Linked DNA regions of Bombyx mori. The protein of the gene in region 1 interacts with the protein of each later gene in a pairwise test. Links are inferred from orthologs where the notes say so. Each region holds a gene or a part of one and is shown in the gene's direction. Other genes may lie near its edges. The genes, in order: GRIP and coiled-coil domain-containing protein 1 and ras-related protein Rab-39B.

Region 1 (3,992 bases):
GTAAAAAAAAAAATCAACGATGGGTACTTCATGAATTGAGTGGATCGAACTTCCAAACATGCGTCAACTGCTGTGTTACTTTGCTCAAGCGACACAATAATGAAGGGATTTTAAATCAAATCATTACTTGTGATGAAAGTGTATAGGTACTGTACGATAATCGGAAGCGTTCGTCGCAATAGCTGAACTCTGCAGACCCAGCCAAATCCTGCCCTAAACGAAAATAGACTCAGAAAAAGTTACTTGTGAGTTTTGTGGACTAGCGGCGCCGGTGTCGTTCACTACAGCTATCTAAAATCTGACCAAACGATTACGGCAGATATCTATTGTCAGCAACTGTAAACCATGAAGGAAGAACTAGGTGCTAATCAACCGAGATTGGTCAATCGCTTTAAGCCATTGCTCCTTCACGACAATGCAAGACCACTAGTGCTTTCGTAAGCAATATAAATATAAATTTAAACTTTGTGACAATGATTACGAAAATGACAATTATCTAACAAATTTTATATAATGAGTAAGATAAATTTGACTTTTGTTGATATTTTAATGAGTAAGATAAATTTGACTTTTGTAATTTTATTCTCAACCTTGTATTCTTTTATTTTGTTTTCCATATTCACGTAGATATGTAGGTCTAAAATTTTCTTGTTACTTATAGTACATCCTCAGATTATTAGAGAAAAGAATATTAGTTAATACGATATACGGTATCGATCGTTTTGGAGTTTTTAATGGTTTCTATGTTGTCAAACGTCAAAAAATCGGTCATGCTGTTTTTTTTAAGAGATTTTATGACCTGGTAACTAAGACCTTTAAGTCAGGTCTTATTTTACTTTATATTCTTAATTTTATGAAAAATGATAATAAGGAGTGAAATGAAATGAAGATGATTAATTTGAGACATTAATCAACTGGGATGAAATTTAATGATATGAAATGATATGGGATGAAATATAATCACAGTAAAATAGTGGTCATTTACTGAGATTTTTTCAGTGGACTTTTTGGAGGAACCCGAGAAGTTACGTCCAGCAGCTTTGTTTCATTTTCCCACATTTGTGCACTTTCACAGATATTAAACAGTTAATAAACCACCATTATTACATATTTAAACCTGAAGAAACACTAAATAGACAAAATAAAACAAATCACACAACTTCAGTCCTCGCGTTCCCGCCAAAAAGTCTCATCGGTCATGCTGGTAAGTGGAAGCATAGATTAGACATTAATGACATTATTTTATTATAATATAAGTTGAACTGGGAACTAAAAAGTGATGTTAATATTGATTTAAATCAAATTTTATTTACAGACTTGTTTAAATTGTGGAGTTTTCTCAAATAATTAAACCTGTACTAAATACTGATCCGTTCTAGTTTATTTGAACTTAACTAATAGTTTATGGTAAAGTTTATTTAACAAAAATATGTCTAGTCTTGTGTCATAACAATAGAAATGGAATCATTATCAAAACAAGAGCTAATATCTACCATAACAAAACAAGCTGATCAGATAAAACGATACGAATCACGTTTACGGGGTAAGTGTAATCTTTTTTATTTGGAATAGAAGGACAGTGTTTAGCTCGGAGGATTTGCTGCTTAACCGGGACAGATAGTCAGCTCACGCACTCATTCCAAGACTTCGCGAGATTCTTATTAAACATAGTTTATTGAGAAACATGTGAAAGTGCTCCTAAACACCATTAGAAAAGATTAATTTGAGAGCCATATGTTATGTGGCTAAAACAAATCCTGTAGTGCATTTACATAAAAGTAGATTTTCTAAATACATATTTGACAAATTTGAATTCATCTCAAAAACCTTGGTTTTTGGCTGTGGCAGCATATCAACTATAAATTCAACGTAGAAAAAAGTAATGATGTCATTTACAAGGTAAATTTTCATTTCCAGATGTAGTCACAGCTTACAAGGGCTTGGTTAAAGAGAAAGAAGCATTAGAGATCAGCTTGAAGGCACTCAACAAGACTGAAAACACTATAGATGGAAGTGAAGGTATGGACATTCAGAGGTGTAGAATAGAGATGGGGAATTAACATTTATCACTTCTGTAGATATAAAAAAAATTGATATTATATTGTCTAAAAATACAAATTTTTTTTGGTCATACAGTATAAGCTCTTTTTTCGTGGGGTATATGCTCCTTAAATAGTCTGCAAATACAGAAACCACTAATAGTGGTACAAAGGATATTTGGTTGGATACCTACATATTTAAATCCTTTTTATCAATGTGTATGTACCAGTAGACTTATTAGATCAACACATAAGGAAATCTTGAGCTGTGAATATAGGAATTGGCTTGCATTTTTTTATCTGCGAATAGTCGAAACACAAACGAAGGAATCGGGAATAAGGATCTTTTACTGTATATGAGTTTCTATTTTAAATATAATATGCTAATAGTACAAGTAACCCAAATCACATAATGCATGGATTCTAAAATTTCATTCAATTTACAGATGATTCGGTCACAGCCCTCACTCTGTCTCTTTCTACCCTCACAGTGGAGAAAGCTCGCATGGAAGAAGCTTTCCAGGCAGACAAAAAAGTTACAAGGGATAAGGTACATGTGATTCCATGAATGTGCCTACAGCCAAAGAAAAATATCTGTCTATGCTTTTCTCAGAAATACTAAGTATATATTCTCAGTTGCTATTAGATTAGTGCTGTAGTTATTTAGCTTACCAAAAAGGATTTATTTTCAAGACTTATGTCATACTAATGTTACAAATAATAAGTTAATGTCATACAAATCTCAAATACAAGCTTACTAGATGTTGCTTGTATTTGAGATTTGTTAGTGGACACAAGCAATGCATCATTAGGTGCAGAAGTATATGTATTGTTTTTTTTATTTTTTATTGCTTAGATGAGTAGATGAGCTCACAGCCTACCTGGTGTTAAGTGGTTTCTGGAGCCCATAGACATTCACAACGTAAATGCGCCACCCACCTTGAGATATAAGTACTAAGATCTCAAGTATAGTTACAACGGCCGCCCCACCCTTCAAATCCAAACGCATTACTGCTTCACGGCAGAAATAGGCAGAGTGGTGGTACCCACCTGCGGGGACTCACAAGAGGTTCTACCACCAGTAATACCAGTAGTACCACCAGTATTTTACAATGAAGATATAATTATTGTATATTCTTTGATTTTCGTGAGTCATAGACATAATTAAAACAACTTTTATAGCTTAATCGAACTTGTTTTATTGTCATTATATTATTACTGATGTATGAGATACTTCACAGTTTTAGTGGTCATTAAAATGATTATTGTTGTTTTTTATTATACAAAATGAAATGTTAGCTAATGTTGAGCGTGAATATTATTACAGTATGAGAACATGTTAGCGGCACTGAGAGAGGAGAATAAAATGCTATCGCAGCAACATTTGCTGGAGCTTAACAGTCTGAAAGCCAAGATAGCCTACGAGATACAAGAGAGGGAGAAGGAGAGAGCTGATCATGTTGCTATGATGAAGTAAGCATACATTTCTTATACAGAATATTATGTGATTCTATGACATAAAGGCTATTTTTCAAGTAAACTAGCGCATTTCAAATAGAAAATAAATATTTAAAACTAGCGACCCGCCCTCGCTTCGCTTCGGAAACTGTAATTTATTATTGATTTCTCCATTATTTAATGGATGTTATTATACATATAAACCTTCCTCTTCAATCACTATATCTATTAAAAAATACCCGCATCAAAATCCGTTGCGTCGTTTTAAAGATTTAAGCATACATAGGGATATAGGGACAGGGAAAGCGACTTTGTTATCTTTTTGTTCGATTAAAATTAGTAATTTATTGATAGTAAGATGTGTTTTTGGGTAGGCTCTGTGTATATTGCTTTGATTTTCAGCTCAAACTATCTCAACAGATAGAAGCTACGTTCATATTGCGATATATTATGGTTGAGGTTTATGTGCATGACACTTGTTCCACTCTTTAGGCT
Region 2 (17,638 bases), on another chromosome or scaffold:
TACATTCATGTCGTTTCCACTTCCTACACTAGCGCTATTTCGGTGAGTGTTCGAACACTAACTTGCTGTTTAGAAGCGGACACTTTTTGAACTTGTCCACTATTCAAACTGGTGCTCCTTATTTCTACCCTCCATACGCGATACGTAGATATAGAATTTTAATACTGCAATCTTGTGTATTTTATTGTCATTATATTATTTCCAATATTTCCAATAAACTTAAAGTAGCTTTTTGTTTTAAAAGTTTAATTAAAAACAAGTTTTGCAAGAAATTTGATTATTCGTAACTTTCTGTTTGATGGGGATTTGAAAGTTTTTAACAGAGCGACAATTTTCGTAATTTTAGCTGACGTGTGAGACTACTTAAGATATTGATCGCATGTTTGGTTGGTATCTTGGGAGGTGTTCCGGTCACCGTCCTCACTGAACCCGTCGCTTGCGACGAAGCGCTCGAATAAATTAACCCATATACACAGCCCACTGAGTCTTTTCGCCGGATCTTCTCAGTGGGTAGAGTTTTCGATCCGGTGGTAGATTCTTCGAAGCACTGCTCTTGCTAGGGCCAGTGTTAGCAACACTCCCGGTTTGAACCCCGTGAGCTCACCTATACGTCAAGAAGCTGAAATATGCTCTCACGGCTATCAGCATAGGTAGGAAAAAAAAGGGAGGTGTAAATACGGTAAATGTAGAAGTGCTTAAAATCCAATCACCTCTTCTGTTTATGATGAAAACTAAAAAAAAAGTTGAATTAATTTATATTATTCCCTAGCATTAATCTCTTTGTAGTAACGGAACAATAAAGACCCCATCGCCAGCAAAGCGTAGAACAATTAAATCCGGAGCAATGCTGAAAAGTGCCAAATGCCGCTGTCAAGATGAGGATTACTCCCAACTGGTGGTAGGACATCCTGTAAGTCCGCATGGGTAGATACCACCACCCTACATATTTCTGCCGTGAAAATGCGTTTCAGTTTGAAGGGCGGGGCTGCCGTTGTCGTGTAAAACTGAGGCTTGTCTCATGCCGGCATTTACATTGTTAATATCTATGGGGTCCAGTATCCACTTAACACCGAATGGGCCGGAGCTCGTCCACCCATCTAGGCAATAAACACAAAAACTCCAGTCCCCGTTGAAGACCTTCCCCCTGACCACACACGCCAAAGGGTTTTGGTAATTTAGTAAATTTTTACTTTAAAATCTCTAAAAATGTTTAGTTGATAAAAAAATGATTTCTGGTTATTGAATAATAACAGTAATAATTGACATTCCTTCATAATTAATTTATTTAATAAATCGAATTCCATTAACCTAAAGTCACTTTACAAGATAATGATGTTTCAGTCTGTTCCGCCACCACTTTAATCATATTGGAAGCTACATTTTTAGGCTGGTAGCCTGCAGTCACCCACGATTCTAAAATTTCAGTACTTGGCAACATTGTTCTCAGGGTATTCCGAATGTATATGTATGCTTGAGGAGAATATTTATAAACACTAAGTGCAAAATTTTTTAGGTCTTCCGTTTGTCTCATCGGCATGGCTAGAACCAAACCACTTGTGTCTTCCTTGATTTTGTCTTGCAAAGACAATAAAATTCTACATTTTTTCTTTCTTTTCTGATTTAAAATCTTCTTTTTCATTTCGATTATTTCTCTAATTCTCAGCAAGAACCTGTTCTGTTTATTGTGTATTCTCATGTTGTGTTTTAATTTCTGCTTTAGAGTGACAGCCAGCCTTTGCATTCTTTGTACTTCACTGAACAGTTTGAGTAATTCAATATCTGGTTCTTTGTATGTGATGGTTTTCATTATTTTTTTAGGCCTCTCTGGTTCTTCGTCACTCTCAGTCTGAATATAATTATCACCTTCATTGTCTAATGTGTCTTCATCAATGTATTCAACCTAAAACAATAGTCCTTTTTTATTGCTACGTTGGACGGGTGAGCTCACGATCCACTTCGTGTTAAGTGGTCACCGGCGCCCATAGACATCAACAACGTTAATGCCGCCACCCACCTTGAGACATGAGCTTTAAGTCCCAGTTTTAACAGTACAACGGCTGCCCCTCCCTTCAAACCGAAACGCATTACTGCTTCACGGCAGAAATAGGAAGGGTGGTGGTACCTGTTCACATGGACTCACAAGAGGTCCTACCACGAGTAAAAATACTACTAAATATTTTCCCAAAAAATGATTGTATATTTGAAATGTATTAATTAACCACCTTGAAATGTAAGGTTGAAGTTTTAATTGATCAACAGCTCTCTTGTTTGTCAATCCTTCAAAAGAGAACAGTTTGATTACCTCAATGCAGTAGGCAAATCATTGGTTCGGAAACATACAGATATGAAACGGTACATAAGATAAAGAAGCTTTTATTACTTTTATTAACAACCTTAATTCATATTTAGGTACATACTATTAATGTAATTTTTATAAACTTTTGACATTGGCAAAGATTGTTTTGCTTTCGCATAGGCCTAAGTACATAAAAAGTAGTAAATTAAGAATGATAGAAGAGGAAAGCATGCTACATACAACTACAGATAAATTATAGGAAAGTTAGTGAAGGAGATCCGTATCTTCAAATTCAGAGCTAGGCAGACATTGCCATTTTTTTTTTTTGTCATTGAGATGCTCTGATTTTAACCTGATTTACAAATATATATTGCATTAATAGAGCCTCAGATATATTAAATCTGACAAAGCCAGTTTGATCACTATCGCCTGCCAAATAATACTCGCACAAGCATTTCCTAAGAGTGCAGGTAATTGACTACATACCTCTAAAACATGTCGAGGCAATTTCAAAGATGGCACTGCTTTATCCACAAGCACCATTCTGTCTTCATTGTCTAATTTGAAACAATCTACAGAGAAGTGTTGTATGCAAATATAGGAAAAATCTGTTGGAGTCCAATTATTTCTGCCCGTGAGGTCTGTCCATATTTGTCTGAGACTTGAGTCCTCAGGAAACCTTTGAAAACAAATTAATCATGTAATATCATTAATCTTGCCATTTATAGACTCACTTGGTATTTAATGATTACAGGAGACAAATATGAATGAATGTTATCTAGTTTCAAATGAAGTCAAATTTGCTCAATCGCATTTTGTAAAAGTTGTTGCACACCAATCAAAGTAGATTGCAATCACATTAGGAATTTCTCTCGAATTTGCTATGCTGACCCTGACTATAACCTATTTAACCGTTTAAAAAGAAATGTTGCAGAATATACATTGGTATATTGGTAAAAAAATAAAACAAAAAGAAAAATTGTTTTCTTTTTGTTTTATTTTTTTCCATCTTTATATAAGCTATTCATGTTATGAAGACAAACAATGCTCTAATCCTAGTTAATAAAGCTCAGCAGAAATCTTTCAATATTGAAGAATCATAATATATGTACTTCCACTATTCACTAATATTTAACTATTTAAGTTTCTGATTTTACTCTGGTTTCTGGCATTGTAAAATAAATTTATTGTTTTAATAAGTCACTTGGAGAAAATCAGTGTATTCAACGTTTAAAGGGAGTGTGGCAATAAAGTATGGCTGAAATTGCTTTAAATATTAAGAGTAAATTAATGCTTCTTACTACCCTTATTATTTTGCTTGGTAAAAACATGGTTAGACAATAAATCTTGACCAAGTTAGACATGCAGAAATGAGATATTGTCCAATATTGAGATAACTACAAGTCAGTTGTACAACTAGATGGTCACTTACCTCTGACTGGATAATATTATTATTTAATAAACAGTACAAATGGTTATTACGTTGAATTATGAATTTCACATACCTAAAAAACATAATTGAGTCCATATTCTTGCAATCGTCACATCCAAGTACAGCACAAGTTTTCGTTATACCCATGTCCGTATCAGCATTTTGTTTTAATTCAGGAGCTACCTTCGCTGGAAGTGCAAATAACATTGATTGATAGATTTGTTACATATTGGAGTTTAAAATTAATTTATAATTTACAAATATTCAATGGTGTACAGGCAATCTAAAAAAATAAATTAATTGTTCCATTTAATTTAATGATTTAAAAAAATTAACATATCAATATTCAATTAATTTAACTTTCTTTAGATCTAATTCTTGGTTTTCTTTTTATAATTGGAATCCGGTTCTTAAGCCCGATTTTTTTTTAATTAGGATATGACTTTTAAAGTGACATTAATCTTTCTTATGAGAAATCTGATTTTTGTTAATTTATTTAAACCAGATTCTTTCAACGACTAAGCATCACCAAAATTAAGTGAGTTGGAAGCTTCATGTATTACGAGGGTGGGATCGGGTATTACACTTAGTAATATAAAGTAAAAAGCTCATTCTGTTATGAAAATATATTAAACGCTTAGGAAATATATTTTTTTCTAATGAATTGAACAGTACTCACCTATTGGCGTTGGTTTCGTTTTATTATCGTTAAAATCTGCTAAACTATCCTTCATTTTGTATACTAGATTGATATTCATATCAACTGAAATTCAAATTTTACCAATTTAAATTTCACGACTTTTATCTCAAAATGGCATTTTTATAATATTCACAGCGAAATTTTACAACATTTTAATGAATTATTACTAGTGTTTAATTCATTTTAAATAGCTTACAAAATTTTGTTTGGCGGCAAAGTTAACACCACGTAGGTTATACACACAGCTTAACAATTTGAGTTTTATTCATTAATGATATCATCATCATGTTTTATAATCATATTTCATATTTAGCTTTGTAAATTGTCATTCAAGTTACTTTTTTATTCACTTAGGATCAAAAACTAGAACGCATCCGAACAATTAAATTTATTTCTCAAAATCACAGACTACACAATAAGATGCATAACAATTAACAATGCCAGTGTGCTATCTAGTGTATAATCTATGGTACTATCAATGACAATGCTTTAAAATTTTTCAAAATCGTAATAGGTGAAGATACTTTTCTACTTATAACTTATGATTTTGTTTTCACCTAGCATACTTTGCTTTGCAGCTTTGGTCTTAAAATATTCACAAGAGAAGGATATTATTATTTAGCTTGGAGAACTTCAGTCTTTTATTGTAGCAGGATTTAAGCTTGATGCCGCCCTAGGCCCTGTTTATCGCGCCGCCCCTTTAATGCTACAATTTTATTTTTGAATTTGATCCAATATTTTTATTTTAAATTTAAAATAAATTTGTATTTTATTTTTTATAAAATGTAATATGAATTCATTTTTAAAGAAGACTGGCTTTACTTTTTTTGGTACCTGTAATTTTAGAATTTAAATTTTTTTATCGCCCCTCAAATCATGCCGTCAATAAGCGTCAATCCATCACTGGAAACTTGAAAGAAGAATACAACGCAAAAAAATACTTAGATGTTTAGTCTTATTTGCTTCCGCAGAAAAGCAAAGCAAACCTTTGAAATATTTTTTTTTTTTTACCGGAAATGAATGTGGTTTTCTAACTGCTAAATATCTATATTCGGATTCGATTTACAATCCGAGGTTTGTTTACCCAAGAGTTGTGGGTCCGAACGGGTAGGTACCGCCACCTTGCCTTTTCTGCCGTGAAGCAGTTATGGTTAGGTACATTTCGGTTTGAAGGATGGAGCAGCCGTTGTACTATACTGAGACCTTAGAACTCTTATTTTAAGGTAGATGGCGGCATTTACGTTGTAGATGTCTATGGGCTCTGGCAACCACTTAACACCAGTAGGGCCGTGAGGTCGTCCGCCCACCTAAGAAATAAAAAATAAAATTAACAAACTTTGTATACTCAAAACATTTACGTTGTAGCTGTGTATGGGCTCCGGAAACCACCTAACTTATGGTGGGCCATGAGCTCGTCCATTTATCTAGCAATAAAAAAAATTAAAAATAAAAAAAATTGTGAAACTGATAAAGCTACAATAAACCTTTTTAAAACTTTCTATAGTTTAATACAATTAATTTTAGTTAGCTCTTTCGCCACTGATTGATTTTCATCAAATTCTTTCCTATTTTAATACCTTCGCTGTCATAGCGCAAGTGTTTTTGGTTCAAAAAGTAATTTTGAATGTAAAATTTAATATAAATAGACTTTAAAATCCACCACAAGTTTTACGGTGTTTTTTTTTTATAGAAATGGAAAAATCAACTGCATCTGAACAATTGATCTATTTCATTATTTTCTACGTACGGTTACTAAGCAGATTGAATGAAAAAATAAAAATGTGTTGCCTATCTTTATTTTTTACATAAATGGGTATACGATTTTACTGCTCACCTGATGTTACATGGTTACGGTTGTTCTACGTACTCTTTAAGCCGGAACGTATTACTGTTTCACCGTACCGCACAGCAAATAATGTAGGTGGTGGTCCATACACTTCACAAGAATCCTATCATCAATCATTTCACAAATTGTATTTTTTCGGGTTTGATTTTAATACACCTGTTACTTTACCATGGAAATAACTCGTGAGCATATTTTAAATATTTATTTCATTAAGGGCGAAAACCCTCTATCGGCCCTGGCTCCGCGGCAACGGATCAGTGCGGAAACGGAAGAGTTCACTATCTTTCATTCCCCGACCTCCTGCGCAGAAATGAAGCAACGCCTTCCAAGGGGTTGCCTGAACTTCATCGTACATTTTCTAGTGGCTGTCGTCATGATGTTTGACGAAATTAAGTTTGAAATAGTTTGAACTCTAGAAAAGAACCAGGCTACCTCTAGTCCGCTGGATATTTTAGAATTTCGTTACATGTAGCACAAAGGACTTTATTTTCCACAGTAGAAAATCGCTGGATCCCCACCTGCGTGGCAGGTGAAGTGTGTGGGAGTTGAACCTTACTAAAAACTCCTGCCGCTCACAGCCGGCGCCCTACCCTGGACCGGGCTGGAGACCTGTCGGGGCTGTTGAAATGGCAGGACAGGTTGACGCAGACCATATTACATTCATCTCGCTGTACTTTAGACGCCGGACCAGCGGCCGCTGACGACACGACCGCCGGTCCCCTCGATTTGATGGCGCCGCGCTGCATCTTCCCCGGATCGGTCGAGGGAACGCGGTATACCATCACCGGATTTCCATTACGAGCGTGCAAAACACGCCGCCCCACGCTTAGGTCCCACCCCGCATAAAGCGGGTGGATCCCGAAACTCTTAGGGGGGGCGAGTCACGGATGGCACCCGGATCCCGACCCCCTGCTTGGTGGCGGCGGATTTCTGCGTAGTGAGGAGAGCTTTACTTCATACGCCTCGCCGCCTCCTTCCGCGAGATAGTACACTCGCAGAAGTCGAGCGTAGCCTTCCAGGACTCATCGCCGTTAAACATCGACGCCACGATGCCAGGCAGCGACAAGTCCGGTTTTATATTTGCGACCAGGACACTGCACGCTGCATCTCCCAAGCGGGACAGACAGCGGTCGTATGCTCCGCCATGTCCAGGGCGTGTCTACAATGGTGACACCTCGTCGTCGGCTCTGCTCCTTTCCGGTGCAGGAGCACAAAAGTTTAGGCCGAATGAGCTATGCTTCCCTTGCTCGTTGTAGTGACAAAACAAACCAAACAGAATCTTTTTGGATCATACGTAATTTTGACGAGATTAATGTTGCTAACAATTTTATTCAATGTTATTGAATTGAATGTACAATAAAGAAAATGGTCGATCCGATATTTGATTATCAGTTCAGGCTTATCCTAATCGGAGATAGCACGGTCGGCAAGAGTTCTCTGCTTAAGTATTTTACAGACGGGAAGTTCGCTGAGGTGAGTGATAATTTCTTTGTTTATGTGATATTTTTGTCAATTTATTCATATAATTGCGCATTTATTTTCAGCTATCTGATCCGACTGTGGGCGTAGATTTCTTCGCTAGAATCATCGAGATCCAAGATGGAACAAGGATTAAACTACAACTCTGGGACACGGCTGGACAGGAGAGATTTCGTTCCATCACGAAATCGTATTATAGAAACTCTGTTGGAGCTTTGTTGGTGTACGACGTCTCGAACAGATCCAGTTTCGAACATATACCATTATGGATGATGGAAGCCAAGAGGCACATAGAACCTCACAGACCAGTGTTCGCATTGGTTGGCTGTAAGCTCGACCTAGTCGGAAGTGATAACAAGAGTGAATCAAGACGAGAAGTGTCATGTGAAGAAGCCAGGCTATTTGCTGAGGAAAACGGTATTATTCTAATTTAATATTATTCAGTACACTAATATTGTTTGTCTGGTTGAACACTTCAATGAAACTTCATTTGCACATTTAAAGCTAATTCGTAATCATGTTATCAGATACATAAAAAGAACATTAAATATTAAAATTTCTTTAGCTCAACTACTATAAATTATGGTTCTGAATCAGAATATATGTGACCATAACTACTCAACTAAAAATAAATCCTTTAACTTTTTGTTATGTTTTGAAATAAGTTAAGATAGCTAATCTAACAGTCATAAGACTGTGCTTATCTGGATATGTAAAAACACAAAAAAACTAACCAAACTAAAATGTACACCTTTGTAATGATTTTCAATTGTGCCACTTCATTGAAATTAGGCAGTTTTCCTCTTCAACATTGCTAATGTACAACAACACCAAAATCTGAATCATATGAAAATGTCTATGGAAAAATACATATTTTATAAAACAACTATTTTATAGAGATATTGAATAATACCTTGATACATAATTTGAAAAAATGACTGTATTAGTGTGCTGTAGTTAAATGGTGATATTCTCGACTATAAATGAACTCCGATGGGAAACATTGCCATGGCAGAATATAATTTTCTCTTACTTTTTTTGTTTTCTTGTAACATACAACTAGAATAACTGTTCTCAGGCCTACATCACATAGAAACATCAGCAAAAACTGGATTAAATGTCGAGCAGGCATTTGTACTTGTAGCTCAAGAAGTCTACAACCGAATCCAGACTGGTGAGTATAAAGTGGAAGACGGATGGGACGGAATAAAAACAGGATTCAATCGACCAAATGGTACTGATTTCAATTTACTTGAAGCAGAAGCTGTACACTCAACGTGCTGTTAGATGAAGAGCATAAAAAGGCTATGTAAATATGATTCACAATAGTTGTAATTGATATTTAAGGATAAATATACTTTTTTGTAATATCGAACAGGTAATGTAGTTAATGTTCTAATTACAATATTTGGGTTAATGAAGTTCATAATGACTAACTTGCAGTGTTAAAGAATGCAGCAACTCTTTTTTTTTATGTTTAGTGCTACTGTCTGGTGTTACTTTATTTATGGTTTATTTATTTAGTAATATTGTACATGAAATAGAAAGTTTCCAGTATGTAGTTATTGACGATGCTTATTGAGCAAAATCCTTTTTTTCATTTTTTATAAGCCAATGTTGACCAGTGTTATCGCACCCTAATTGGCAAGTGATTCCTCATATGACATTAAAGCTGTATGGTTTATGAACTGTATTTATCAATAAACACTGCGTATGAGTAATGTGAAGCAATATCTAAAACATAATAAAACATCACTACTGCCCTCCATATTAATAAATGATTTGAGTTTTCGTTTTATTAAGTACTTAGGACATATTATATACACACACACACACATACTTGCTATTGGCATAAATAGGGTTATATAAATGTGTTATGTAGACATAGGGAAAATATATGCGGGGATTATACACTAGCCCAGAAATCATATAACTGAATTGCACATTGCATTGGCTTGTTGAACGTAATATCAAGGTTCCCAAAGCAGATAAAATCAAACAATGTTTGCAACCAGATTTGTAATACTTTTACATGTGCATGGTTAACAGATATAGCTTATCAAAAAAATGACTGTTAGCAGAAATTACTGTCTGAGATTGATAAACTCTGACCTCATTCCCCCGATTGAGATGAAACTTTGTACAATTGTCAGTTTGTGACATTTCAGAGACATTAGTAACACAAGGGCACGAGTCATTTTAAATTCATTCATTTCATTAGGCCGCGATCACGCTGCAGTTGGCGGTAGTATAGGTGACTATTTAATAAATTGCATAGCATTGTAGGTTAGGGTGAACATCGGTTGAATTTGCTACGGTAAATGAATACTTGTAATTTCTATATTGAAGCCAAAATGCAAAATTTAAAATAAAATATTCATCCTAAAATAAATTCAGGAAAGCGATCAACAGGCCTATGACAACGACAAACAATAATAAAACTTAACGTTTGCCGAAAGAAAATAAAATATTTTGTCCGTTGGGTGGGATTTGTCTGGCCCCTTATCTACGAATTGTGGTGAGATGCGGTCTTTTTGAGCATTACCACTGTTCTTTTAAGTTATTTTGATAAGAATGCCATCTGAAGTGTGAACGTGGTTTTAGATACAGGAAATCGTGACAAGAATTCGCTAATCTATGATGCTAAAGTGTATAATCTATGCCGTATTGTATTGCCGTCAACATGCGAACCGGAACTTTCATGAAACATAATTAACGGATTATTAATGTGAAATTTAATAAAAAGCATTGCTATGTGATAGCTAACACAAGCTAATAATGCACCGTTTATACAAGTGATGACAAGCTATCAAGCAATTTATTAACATCGCTGATCGTATCATATGACTGTTTGCAGTTTCCGCTAATTGACAAGCTAAAGACGCCAGATACATGATTTGCACACGTTTTTAATTACTATTATTTATATATGGTCATTCTCAGTAAAATGCGGTATTTTTAATGAGGGCTAGAAGCCCGAGATGAAGTTTCGAGTATTTTGTTTCATTATTATTACGCTCTTTGACACATAATAAATATTTAATAATCCCTGTTACACACTACAACAGAAAAAAGACTAAATTAATAAATAAAAAATTCAATATGTACCTACCATTATTTTTCCATAAAAAACATGCTCGCAAAAGGGGTGGCTGACTAAATGTTGTCAGTCAACAAATAACCCTATTTTTTATTTACAGAATTATATTGAGGTGACTTTCATCTTTAAGATTTGAATTTATTTACAATTATTTCAAGAATACTTTATCGTTACTTTGCTTTACAAATATTATATGGCAAATATAGCATATAGCATAATACGAGTATATTATAGGTAGGACTGTGGAAAATATAGCATTTCTAAATATCATTGATATTTAAGTTTAATGCGCGGGTTCACAGATATTTTTAATTATGTCACTGTGACAATTATTGTAAGCAAAAATAAACGTAGCCGATCAAATTAGGTAAACTTTTTTTTTATAAAAAGTAATTTTCGTACGTATGTATGAATGACTATTTCTTTGGTACTCTGGGACTACTAGCTAAACCTGTAACGGATTATAACACATGTGGAGGCATTAGAATTGTCCCAGTAGTAGGAGTAACCATTATATCTAGGTATATGGTGTTTGCGAAAAAAAATCCAACAGTAATCGAATAAACAAAAAGTGTGTCATAAAAAAACCAAAAAAAACATAGCCGCATGATAATACTAATTAAAATGCGAAATTTAAAATATGTTTACACTTAAATAAATTGAACTTGAATGTTAGTAAAGGTATTGCAGGCACGGATAAACAATGAAATTAAAATATATTTTGATGTTACTTAAAAATCTCATTTTTGAATGGGTCTGCTTTAGGGGCACTATTAAATTATGAAGATAATATCCCTGAAAGCTAAACTACTCTTTGTACTAAAAAAAATTGGTACTTTACCAACTAATTCCAATGACCAAACGACCGAATACACTGTTTTGTTTATAGTCATTATTTTATTTTTTCTTTGTTGTTTTATTGTTTTTGATGTAAATAATGTACAGTATTGACACGTTTCTATTGTTCTGATTTATTTTATATTTCTAAACAGTCAAATCGTATTCCACGTACAATTTCATTTTAAAAATGGACATTTCACTCCAACACTTCATTACACCAAAGTACTTTCGAACCAAAATTCAATTTCACTATGAATTTAAAATTTAATTTAATTTGTTTAAAGACACCAAAGAATTGGTAAATCTGGTACACCGAAAACTTAGCAGAAAAATGAAATAAGTCTTAGATTCTAACTTGTTTTTAGTTTTTACTAACAAATTGATTTGTACATTGAATTAAACTAACCTAAGTAATTGTAACATTAAAATTGTACCTGCGATTGTTAAATGATTAATAAACACTTTAGTAGTCATTTGAAATATTTCATTAGTGTTAAAATAATTATTATAAATATTTTGAATATTAAGAATCCAATATACAGATGCTACATTCTAAAACTTTAACGTGCTAATTCTACCGTCCAAGGGAAATGAGCGCAAAAATATATTATTCAAATATCCATTGATTTTTATGAGACTAAATAAATAAGAAACCCGATATATTTAATTAAACAAGTAGTCATTTTAATAGCAAATTCATAAAATATATTTAGAATTATAAATATAAATGTTCGGATTCACCATATTGTCTTAATTTCTATTGCAAACAGGACAATAGCTACCTAATCTTGTTCACGCTCAAAAAAATACCAACAACTTTTGCTTACCTTTTTATTGAATTTTAATTGTTTTAATGAATCTATTCGGATTATAGTTATGTAACTACACTACAAATATGTTTTTCTACCTACCAACAACATTACGTTTAGCAATGACTATCAAATAAACATAATAATGGCAATGGAATATGAATATATTGATTTCTAGTTCAAATTTGAATGTATATAAAGCAACCTACATTTTGGTATAACTTATGCTTTTGCATACTTTATTATTTCTGAAAACATTTATATTCTTAAACTGTTACAAAAATCACAACACATATGCCTTTAAGCAGTCAATATTATTATATAAAATTGATATTTAATTGTGATTATAGGAATAAACGTGTGATCAATTAATTGTTCGAAATATTTACACTAAATTCGAAACGTTCTTAGATATGTCGAGGAGAGCAGAGTGGTGTGCATCATACACAACGATTATTAATTTGGATGCCTTATGTACTTATTGTACAAGTAAAATTATCGATAAATCTCCCATCCTTATAGTACACATAAGCGTATCAAAGTGTAAAATCCTTTTCAATGGTACTACTTAAAATCAGTATGGTTACTATTTTCTTGGAGTACCCACAACATTTACTCTGAAGCATTATTATGCTTAAAAGGTTAGGTTTAACGTTTATAATCTTATAGTAATAAAATAATAATAAAAAACGTATTGTATTAAAATGTTCATGTTTATTTCTTCAAGTTCTTCGTTTGATAAATCAGATTTGATAACATGTATAGGGCTTTTTGTAGTCAGTATACTTGTGAATAAGTTGCATATTTAAATGAAAAAAATATATTTTAAGGAGCTCGCTGGTGTTATATGAACTGGCTACTGCGCTGCGCAGTATATGTATATTTCTAATGTCGCACTCGTGGATGTTTTGATCACCCACAGCTTAGATGAAAATGCTAGCTTGAGATAAATATTTTACTGTTATTTCCCATACAAATTCCTTCCCGGCTCGTACGTCTGGCGAATGAACATAAACGTGGCCTTCATTGGATATGTCGTGTATTGTGTTCGAATTCGACTGCTCCATTAGCTATTGGTTCAGCAACATGTAGCAGTTCTGTTCCCATTTGTTCTTTTTTTTTCCTACCTATGCTGATAGCCTTGGGCTACATCAGCTTCTCCTTGACGTGTAAGTGAGCTCACGGGGCTGAAACCGGGTGTGTTGCTAACACTGGCCCTAGCAAGAACAGTGCTGCGCAGAACCTACCACCGGATCCGAAACGCGACCCACTGAGAAGATCCGGCGGGAAACTCAGTGGGCGGCGAGAAACTCACTATGCTAATCACACCGATACTTCGACACTTTTCAATTTTTTATCAACCAAAGATATTGCCAGCATAGCCTTTACTATGTACTATTCGTGTCCTGTTAATACTTTAAATCATGATTGGCAACATTTATCAGGAAGCTAAAAACAATACTTCGTGCTAGAAACCATGACCATCAGGTTGTGCCTTTTTTAAACGTAATAGCAGCTGATTACGTCTATCGACCTCGACGAACAATTATTTGATTTATCCAATGTTTCATTATATCTCCTATCTGTGAACACCTCTCACAACATCGCACGCTGGAATTGTGTGAGCTATTGCAGCTGTGAGACTAGATTGGATATCGCCGAAACTGTTCGCAGTAAAAGCGATAGCTTTCGTGAAGCTCATTGGCGACTATATCAGATAGTCTTCAGTTTAGACCGTCACAGTGAAATATACCTATACAAGCAGATGATGTAATAACAGTTTGTAGTAATAACGAAAGCATGGCGGCTCAAATATTTTTTTCTGTAAAATGATGTGTTCGAACTCCAAACTGATTTAGATATTCGAAGCGCAAAAGTTGAAGAACTGTAAACGGAACTCATTTTATGTAAGTAATTATTATTGTTCTTTTTTATGTGTTAGACTGTTTTAATAAATAGCCAATATGCTATCAAATGAAGCTTTATGATTAATAATAATATAGTTTTTGTTAAATGAAACGTTGTTTTATTTTATAGTGTTCACCCAGTTTTGTTTAATGAGGTCAGAATGTCTGTCTCCTAAGATGTGATAACTTTGTAAAAGAGTAAAATTAAATTATAATAGTCCGTCGGACTATGCCGTTAGAATGTGCTGATAACAGATTACGGCCCTTGATGTAGTACTCCACTTTACTGTAAGTAAACCTTTTTTGTAGTGTATCCATATAGGATTGACAAGCGTAATTTTCTTTGTCCCTATTTCTATCGTGAAAGAATCTCATTGATGGGATTACCGCAATGGTCGACAAACTTATCAGCCAAAGAGCCAAATATGCAAATTAAAACGACTTAAAAAAATTGAGAGCCAAATCTGTTTGTAAATGTAGTAAACATTTATTATTGTAAATCATTAAATAAAAGCTATATTGTATACTGCTTCGATTAATATACATAATAATCGACATTAGTCAGGGGTGCTGATATTAAATGACCGTACATACTATTAACCGGCTTTTTCGTCCACACTGTCCACAGCCGGATAATATTAGAGGCCGGGCAAGCCTGTAGGATATTTGTGCTAGAGCCACACTCAAGATTGCAAATAGCCGCATACGGCTCCGGAGCCGCACTGACCTCTGGTATAGCGTATTATCGATGGAACGTATGATAACCGTTATATCGAGCATGGCCTGGAAATCATTTATTCAACTACGTCGCAAAATAGTAGATACCTACTAAACTTCAACCAAATCGTAGTCATTCTTCTGCCCTTTTCCCAGTCACACAACATGTTTTCTCCTTCCATACTCCTCTATCATATACCATTTCTTCGCTCACTCCCCTCTTTACACATATCGTCTTTCACGCAATCCATCCATTTCTTCTAAGGTCTACCTCTTCCTCTATATCCTTGCACATTCATAGTTAACACTCTCTTACCAACTTCAGTTTCATTTCATCTCATCACATATCCATACCATCTGCATGCAATCGCCTTTCATCTTCAACTTTCAACTTCAACCAAATGTGAACATAAAATTATCTACCTACTTAATGTAACATTTGTAGTTTTCGTAAACATAATAGATATTTACATAAACCATTGTCTCGAATACTGCACAGTCATAACGTAGAATGTTAGGTACTTATAATTATAATATATAATAGTCCGACATAACCCGGTACGTGACCCCCCCGGACCGGGTATCCGTAAATGGATTCCCCAGCGTTAAAAAAAAAAAAAGGTACTTATAATTACAAAAATATACTGATTATTTACTTTTCTAGGTGAAGCATTGAAAACAAACAGCACACAGGAAACACGGTCAGTTACGAGTCAATGTGTGCTTACACATGTCATATTAGAGATAATTACTGTTTACAATTTGTGCGGTGACTGTTGGAATAATTGTACAGGGCGTAAACAGACCGTTTTCATTGCTAAAGCCGACAATGAATAATAATTAAATAACAGCTAACTTAACATTAAAAAAAAAAGGTATCTAAATAGATCCAGCCGTTACGTTTTCTCAAAATTAGGAGATAGTTTCGAAATCAGGGATATGTTGAATTATTTATCAGTTCTTTAAACTTTGTACCTGGTAAGAGTCAAAGCTTTATTTGCTAGTCATTTTATTTAATTGAATTACAATTATAACCCTTTTTAAGCTGTGTTTTGTGTATATTATTTAAATCGAAAGGCAAAAAACCCATAAACTGATAAGAAGGCAGCTTCAAAAATCAGTAAAAAGATAACAAAAGAACAATACGAAAATAGTTTTACTTAAAAATTACTCAATAGACATAGCACACGAAAAAATTACGTATTATTTTCTTTTTTTATTTATTGCTTAGATCGGTGGACGAGCTCACAGCCCACCTGGTTGTTAAGTGGTTACTGAAGCCCATAGACATCTACAACGTAAATGCGCCACCCACCTTCAGATATAAGTTCTTATGTTTCAGTACCTATAGTTACAGCGGCTGCCCCACCCTTCAAAACGAAACGCATTACTGCTTCAGGGCAATAATAGGTAGGGTGGTGGTACCTACCCGTAAGAATCACCATCCACCACCACCAGTAATTACGCAAATTATAATTTTGCGGGTTTGATTTTTATTACACGATGTTATTCCTTCACCGTGGAAGTCAATCGTGAACATTTTTTAAGTAGGTACGTATTTAATTAGAAAAATTGGTACCTGCCTGTGGGATTCGAATACCGTTGCATCGCTAGATACGAATGCACCGGACGTCTTAACCTTTATGCCACGATGACTTTAGGTGTGTTCAGTGTGAAGGCCTTGAGACTATGGAGTTGCTAGAAGTAATAGTGTTCTGTGCTATGGAGGGTAGAGGTAAGGAGAACCGTCTCTGTGTGTGAAAAAGTGTCCGTTAAAATTAAAAAAAATAAGGGTGGCGCTACAGTACGAACCGGGTAAATTTAAAAAAAAGGCGCTGTAAGTTATTAGAAAAAGATAGAAAAATAGAACAGAATAAAGAACTGTAAGCACTACATACAAAATCACAAAAAGTATTTTATTTAAAGCTGGAAAATGCAATAGATGTCCCCACGTTTTACCACAGGAATAATTTTAACGAATAGTAAAGCGGAATTTCTTTTACGAAATTAGTGTCATGCACGTTGAACTCAGTTTCACGAAAGTAGTAGATATATGCGAAAGTAATTTCGTTAAAAAATTAGTGTCGCGAAATCCATAGTATCGCAGTAACTATGGTGCCTTCAGCATCAAAGCTATATTTTGCTCTATTCAATGTAGCTAAAGAAATGCATAAATACCTATAAACTTAAAAAAAGACTATCTAGAAAAAAAAGACGTTGGTAGATTCGAGGATGGTTAACAAGAAGGCATTTAGGTGCAATGAAGGTAGTCTCTGAATTAGCAGATGAAGATCCTGAGAGTTATAAAAACTATTTTCGAATGAGTGAAGATTATTTTGCTTTTTTACTGTAGGTGTTTCGGGTCCTAGAGACACCCTTGTCGCTGATATTCATTAATAAGATCTTTTTTTTTCTGTACTCCATCGTTGGTTTGTAATTTTCAACACTTGAAGCGCGTCTGAACTAAAAATACACACGTCCGCACAGCGCAGGCCCTTTCGCGACATTAGTT

The links.
Region 2: the proteins of GRIP and coiled-coil domain-containing protein 1 (region 1) and ras-related protein Rab-39B interact in a two-hybrid assay, tested with the Drosophila melanogaster proteins (2 studies listed by BioGRID). The link is inferred for Bombyx mori from reciprocal best matches to the Drosophila melanogaster genes GCC88 and Rab39.

Annotation. Positions count from the first base shown.
Region 1 is NC_085118.1:16,485,109-16,489,100, reverse strand, and holds the start of GRIP and coiled-coil domain-containing protein 1, read left to right. Parts: upstream 1-1,192; 5' UTR 1,193-1,458; coding exon 1,459-1,543; intron 1,544-1,917; coding exon 1,918-2,019; intron 2,020-2,485; coding exon 2,486-2,589; intron 2,590-3,366; coding exon 3,367-3,512; intron 3,513-3,992.
Region 2 is NC_085129.1:14,750,830-14,768,467, reverse strand, and holds ras-related protein Rab-39B, read left to right. Parts: upstream 1-7,524; 5' UTR 7,525-7,639; coding exon 7,640-7,747; intron 7,748-7,818; coding exon 7,819-8,170; intron 8,171-8,831; coding exon 8,832-9,040; 3' UTR 9,041-14,521; downstream 14,522-17,638. Other genes in the region: THAP domain-containing protein 1, read right to left, coding at 1,304-1,900, 2,783-2,975, 3,802-3,916, 4,408-4,486.